2 linked regions of the Rattus norvegicus genome follow. Each later gene encodes a partner of the first gene's protein in a complex. Links are inferred from orthologs where the notes say so. Each region holds a gene or a part of one and is shown on either strand. Other genes may lie near its edges.

The links. Proteins that work in one complex are often made in the same cells at the same time.
Region 2: Spag5 (region 1) and Knstrn share a complex: the UniProt entries of both Homo sapiens proteins name them as parts of the astrin (SPAG5)-kinastrin (SKAP) complex. The link is inferred for Rattus norvegicus from reciprocal best matches to the Homo sapiens genes SPAG5 and KNSTRN.

What each region holds. Positions count from the first base shown.
Region 1 is NC_086028.1:63,696,250-63,699,902, reverse strand, and holds part of Spag5 (sperm-associated antigen 5), read right to left. Parts: 5' UTR 3,010-3,653; coding exon 2,959-3,009; intron 2,771-2,958; coding exon 2,648-2,770; intron 620-2,647; coding exon 1-619. UniProt on the Homo sapiens protein: Essential component of the mitotic spindle required for normal chromosome segregation and progression into anaphase. Required for chromosome alignment, normal timing of sister chromatid segregation, and maintenance of spindle pole architecture.
Region 2 is NC_086021.1:126,271,548-126,274,851, forward strand, and holds the end of Knstrn (small kinetochore-associated protein), read left to right. Parts: intron 1-61; coding exon of another isoform or gene 62-116; intron 117-2,221; coding exon 2,222-2,353; 3' UTR 2,354-2,799; downstream 2,800-3,304. UniProt on the Homo sapiens protein: Essential component of the mitotic spindle required for faithful chromosome segregation and progression into anaphase.

The sequences.
Region 1 (3,653 bases):
CGACATGATCGACAGAGAAATCTTTGGTCAAGACAGTTGAGGGAGAGAGACAAGCCACAGTGAAATCCAAGACATTTTCAGAAGGAACTGAGCCCGCAGGTGCAGCTTCAGTGTTACTGTCTCTTAATGGAGGGTCCTGAGAGATGGGTTGCTCAGGCCTGATAGCAACAGTTTCTGGTAAGCTGTCTTCCACACAAGGTGCCGCCTCCTTTTCCACCAGGTCTTCTAGCCCCAAAGATTCTTTTAGAGAGCTTTTATTTCTCTCTGCTGTGGTATCTAAGTGAGCCTGGAGCATCAGGTCTTGCTGCTGCCCTAAGGAAAAGGGTAAAAGAACCATGGTCTTAACTATACCGTCATCTATTGGTTCTGCCACAAAATCATCCATTGCTTCCACTGCCTTCTCCAGTGTGTTGAAAGGAGAGCTGCTTTCAGGAGTTAGATCTGATTCACGCTGACAAGCTTCTATGTACTCTGAAGGATGGCTGAACTGTTCTGAAAGGAAGTTGTTCTCAGTATTGTCAAAATCCACTGGAGATGTGTTCTCAGTATTGACAAAATCCACTGGAGATGAGTTCTCTGCATTAACAAAATTCACTGGAGATGAGCTGTTGCGCCTTTCCTGCCAAAAGAAACAAAATAGTTGACAAAGGCAGTCCAATTCAGCCCTCAACATATAACAGTGGGTACATTGCAAAATCCAAACTCAGAAAAAACAGTCTTATTATCTCTTCTTTTTTTTTTTTTTTTTTGGTTCTTTTTTTTTCGGAGCTGGGGACCGAACCCAGGGCCTTGCGCTTCCTAGGCAAGCGCTCTACCACTAAGCTAAATTCCCAACCCCTTTATTATCTCTTCTGAAGGAAGAAGTTAACTACCAGTAGGAAAAGGAAGATAGGAAAGCACTTTGGCTCCTACGCATCCCATCCATATAGGAAGGAGGTGCAGCCCACAGTATAAACAGACTAAGCAAATCTATTATGCCAATGGTAGACTTAGCTTGAAAATGACCTGGCCATGCCCTCTTCTAATTTTTTTTTTTCTTTTTTTCGGAGCTGGGGACCGAACCCTGGGCCTTGCGGTTGCTAGGCGCTCTACCACTGAGCCAAATCCCCAACCCCCCTCTTCTAATTTCAACCAACGTCTCAAGAGACATGGTAGGAGAGACCCAATAGAGAATGGGGGATGTTTTCAAGTACTGTCAGAATCTAGAGTTACACAAGGGTAACTCAGGGATTGCTCAGGGATGCCAGCTGGGAGTGGCACATACTTTAATCCCAGCACTCGGCAGAGGCAGGGGCAGAGGGGCAGAGGGGCAGAGGGGCAGAGGGGCAGAGGGGCAGAGGGGCAGAGAGGCAGAGAGGCAGAGAGAGAGGCAGAGAGGCAGAGAGGCAGAGAGGCAGAGAGGCAGAGAGGCAGAGAGGCAGAGGCAGAGGCAGCTCTGAGTTCGAGGCCAGCCTGGCCTACAGAGTGAGTTTCAGAGTAACCAAGTAACCCTGTCTCAAAAAAACAAAACCAACCAAACAAACAAAAATATTGATTTACTAAAGACAGAATAGATAAAGTTAATGAAATAGGATGGGGGTATAGTTTAGTTGTATAGTATCTGTCTAGCAAGCACAAACATCTACGTTCAATAAAATAAAATAAAATAACAAAATCATGGTCAAAGAAATAAAAAGCAAGCTTTCATATTTTGAAAGAATGGTAGGTTTCATGGTTCTCCTTACAAGAAGAGGAAATAGTAGCAATTTCTTCAGGACAATTTCCCAAGTAGTTCTACAAAATGTCTTTAAAGAACCCAGGGGGTTGGGGCTGGGGATTTAGCTCAGTGGTAGAGCGCTTACCTAGGAAGCGCAAGGCCCTGGGTTCGGTCCCCAGCTCCGAAAAAAAGAACCAAAAAAAAAAAAAAAAAAAAAAAGAACCCAGGGGGTCAAACTCCTTTCTTGACAAATTTAACAAAAGCAATTTGTACTTTCTCTCAAGTCCTTCTCTTTGTACTATTTCTCCTAAGTCCTTTGACAAGTAATAAAAAACATTTTTAAAAAACTTAAGTCTAAAAGTAGAAAAGAAGCTGGGTGGTGACAGTGGTGGCTTGCACCTTCGATCTCAGCACTGGAGAGGCAGAGGCAAGCAGATCTCTGAGTTTTAGGCCAGCCAGGTCGACAGAGTGAATTCCAGGACAGCCACAAAGAAATCCTGTCTCCAAAAACCAAAACCACAACAACCGAAAACCTTCTAACTTAAAAAGTACAGATTAATGTAAGCAACTCGGCAAGGTTTAAAGTATTGGATTACAGGAAAATTCTAACGACCCCATAGGATATATGGACACGGTCTCACTCTTGGAGACAGATCTCTCCATAAATGTGGCAGTGTAAGTATTTCTCAGGAATTTGGTAAAGGTCAAAAACTAGATAGGGGGCAAAGAAAACAGCAAAAACCGAACCCAAGCTAAATAGAGATATGGGTTCTCAGTGGATTCGTTTTAACCACCCCAGGGCACCTCTCTGTTGGCCTGAATAGCTGTAAATGGATGTCACGGAAGTAGAAGACTTCATTATCGTTATTAATTATGTTCCAGCCTTGGCCCTCTGTTCCTCTGAGCATCTGAGCCTGGGCAAACAGCCCAGTTGTGAAGCTAAAATCTCACCTTCAGATCCAGCCTGCGCAGGTATGGGGTCAGCGAGGAGAACATAGGACCTTTCCCTGAATCAGCGAGGGCCTCGGGCTGTAGTTTAAGCTCTCGGAGAGGAGTTCTCATAGCTGGTTTCCCCTGAGAAAGAAAGCGAGTGTGAGGAAACCTGGGCTCAGCCTCTGAGAGTGTTTTCCCACGACCCGCTAGGCCGCGGGGTCAACACTGCCTCTCGCTACCCCAGTTCGTTGGGAGCCAGACTTCACCGGCCTCGGCACCGCCCGCACCCCGCCCAGGTAGCGCCCTGTCCGCGAAAATTCTCTCCTCACCGATTGGGGCGAAGGCGACAAGCCGAGATTCAGTGTTTTCACCCTCCACATCTTTAATTAGACCACTTATCTGACCAAGTCGAAAACGCCACATTCACCCGCCGCCTCTATTTGAACCCAATACGCGTTTCCGGATTGGCTGCGGGGCCGCGGTACGTATAGTGGGTGGGACCTGCGTGCGTCACGCCCCCACGGGCGGCTGGGCGCTTAGCCTAACGCCTCCACTTGAGCATCCGGCTGGTGGGTATGTCCTCCAGAGTCATGGACTCTGGGAAGTTGGAGAGTCGAGGAGTCCGGTTTCAGTGGCTCCGTTTCCCCGGTTACCGAATGAGCCGCACTTCACTCGAGGTTGGGCTGCCCAGGAGTAGGTGCCAGTTTCATAAAGGCCTGAGGGAGTTCCTAAATGCCCAACTTCAGCCTTCAGGTAACGCCTCTTCAGAATTTCTGCGCCTGCCTTGTGTTTAACCTCGGAGCCTACTGTAACGGAACGGGATTACTAGAATAATAGCTGACGTGTACTGTACTGTACATTTATGATGATCCCGGCACTGTTTCAAGTGCTTGCTATATGCTATATTATTAACACACACACACACACACACACACACACACACACACACACACACACACGCAGAGTTGCTCTGTGTAGCCCTGGCTGTCCTCAAATTCTAGAGATCCGCCTGCCTCTGCTTCCT
Region 2 (3,304 bases), on another chromosome or scaffold:
CAAGAACAGCCACTTAGCTGCTGGGCCATCTCTCTGGTTTATCCTTCTTCCTTCCTCATAGGACCTTGCTATGCAGTCCCAGGATGATCCTCTTGCCTCTTCGCTGGGATTACAGGGTGAGCCACCATGCTTGGCTTGCTTTTTATTTACTTATTTTTTAACATTTATTTTTACTTATGTGTATGTGAATGAGTATCACGTATGTGCAGGTGCCCATGGGAGACATAAGAGGACTTCGGATCCCCTAGAGTTAGAGGCAGTGGTGAGGTGCCTGACATGGGAACTAAAAACAACTCTAGTTGCCTAAAGGAGCAAGGGGTAGCCAACTGCAAAGGTGTGTCCTATGGTGTGAATGTCTGCAGGTGTGAATGTCTTGCAGGTGCATAGTGCATACATACCCATGCATGGACGCAAACTCAGGTCATTAGGCTCCGTGGCAGGCACCTTTACCCTTTGAGCCAGCTCACCTGCCTGGCTCCCATTCGGTTGGTTTGTTTGATTTGTTTGTTTTGATTGTCCCTACCTCCAGGAACTGCAGAGCTGAGGGCTAACCCACTCCTTATCATGGTTGCAGCTCTGGGAGGACAAACCCCCGAGTCATTTTTACCTCCTGAAGCCTGGGCTTCTGGAGTGTCACCATGGAGTGGGCCTCCCCTGTATGGCTTTGCTCCCTGGGAAAGAAGAGGCTGAGGGGGAAGGGATGGCTCCCTACAGTCCTGAGTTGGGGACAGGGACAGGAAGGAGGACATCAAATGGCCAGGGCTCCCTGCGTGGGTGGGGCTGACTCAGAGGTGAGAAGCCATAGAGCAACAAGGATCAAGTCTCTAGGGATGTCCTAAATAAAACTCCCAGATCAGTCCTAGGTCAAGGGTCAACTCCCTCCTTCCCTTCTGGAGGGGTCCAAGACACTCCACTGCACTGGAGAGGTCTACACTTCAGTCTGGGCTCTCTGCAAGCAACCTGTCGTAGCTCACTACTATTGACATCCAGATCCATGGAAGCATTGCACTTAGGTGGGCAAAAAGGGCAAGGGCAAGGGCCTGCTGCGGCTGAGGTCAAGGGTGGGGACAAGAGCAGCTCCTAGGGCTTGGAGTTAGGTGGGTAAGTTCCACATGTGCCATAGAAGGAGCCCATAGCCCCAGGCCCAGTATACTTGTTTGTTTTTAATGAACGATTTTGAAATAATTTTAGATTGATAGAAAAGTTGCATAGCTAATTTAGAAAATTCAGTCCCCCTAGGGCTTATACCACACACTGTCCTCGCTGCTGTGCCATCGTTACCTGAGCTCCCAGACTTTGTACTGAATCAATTTCTTTCTTAGATGTTCTTTTTTCTTTTTGTGATCCTGAGGTCTTAGAAAGGTTCCTGGGTATAAAACCACTGCAAGACCCAGGGAAGAAAAGTTTCCACACCTCCAGTCGGCCACACCGTAGTACTCAGAGTTGAAAGCTGAGACCTCGAAATCCATGCTAAAAAGACTTTCTCAAGAGGCCTGAGCAAAATGTCCAGATTGTAGGGCTAGAGGGATGGTCATCGGTTGACAGCATTTGCTGCTTCTGTAGAGGTCCCAAGTTCTGCCCCCTGCAGCTCATAACTTCATAACTCCAGCTCTAGGGATCTGATGCCCTTTCTTTTCTCCTCTCCATGGATATTCGAGGACACACACAAATTAACAAGAAAAAAAAATTAGAAACCAGGCATAGTAGCACACGCCTTTAATCTGCATAAGTTTGAAGCCTGGTCTATTTGGTAAGAATCTTGTAGTCAGGAGCTGGAGAGATGGCTCAGTGGTTAAGAGCACTGACTGCTTTTCCAGAGGACCTGAATTCAATTCCCAGCAACCCAGATGGTGGCTCACAACCATCTATAATGTGATCCAATGCCCTCTTCTGGTGTGTCTGAAGACAGTTGCAGTGTACTCATATGTAATAAGTCTTTTTTTTTTAAAAAAAAAAAAGATTCTTGTACTCCTTCAGATTGCCAGATAAATCGTGGGGCAGGAGACACAGACAATTTCATTGCCCTAGTTTAAATACAGGAGTGGGAAAATTCCCCAAATCAGCCCAGATAAATCCCCAGTGGGAAATAAGATAGTCCTCTATGTGGCGCAGGTATAATGTCTTTATATCTGTCTGGTATAAGGTGTCTGGGTCAGGTGTAGTCTTTCTTGTGACTAAGAGTTTTGTTATGGGTTTTCCTTTGGAATGATTTCCCTTTCAGGCCTTGAAGGTGAAGTTGAAGTTGAAAGAAAAAGAAAGGATCCAGTTCCTGGAACAGCAAACCTTAGGTAAGGACGAAGCCAGTGACTTCACAATAATCCTGGAGGAAATGGAGCAGCTCTTAGAAATGTAATGCAAGGCAAGCGTCCAGACAGCTTCTTCCTGCATAAACTCTCATCGGAGGCCACTTAGGATATCTTCAAGGACTCACCGTCCCTTAGGTAAAGACCTTCTGTAGCAGTTGATCCGATAAGGGCAGTTGATGCTGGGGGTCCTCCTTTAAGCAGATTGCCCCACCTTCAGATGGCTCAGCTCTCCTGCAAGAGAGGAACCTGGGAGTTTGACTCCACTTCCTGCACAACAGAGAGAGCAACAACCTTAGAACTAGGATAGTAAACCAGCCATGGAGACTCTCGAGACTCTTACTTGGAAACACGGGAGGAAAGCCCACACCGAGACAGCACGTGCGCTGTGCGGGAGCTGTCACTTCAAGCTATGCTGTCCCCTTTGTCTGGTTGAGCTAAGTTTATGAACTTGAAATCCTTGAAGTCTTTTGGCGTAATAAATTGGGTGGAGGTATACAGAGTAATGCCTAACTGAAACTATACCTAGAGCTTTTGGAATAAATATCTCCATGAATGTTAATATTCTGACTAACACTAAGGAATGAAAGTGGCCTTTTTACCCCAGAGTGGTGGCTCATGTCTATAAAAATCATAGGACTTGGGAGGCTGAGGCAGGAGGATTGCCTTGAGTTAGAAGATAGCCTAGGTTGGGGATTTAGCTCAGTGGTAGAGCACTTGCCTAGCAAGTGCAAGGCCCTGGGTTCGGTCCCCAGCTCCGAAAAAAAAGAAAAGAAAAGAAAAAAAGAAGATAGCCTAGGCCGCAAAAATCCTGCCTCAAAAAAGCAAGGAAAATGTTGGGGTCTAGGAAATTGCCACACAAACCACCATATGTACCCCAATCTCAGTTAAGCAAGATTTGTTTATTGATCGCACACCATAATACTGGAAGTCCAGGTCCACAAGAAGGAAAAATGTAATAGCAGCACTAGTCTGCTCCCAGAGTAGACTTTTTATAGGAA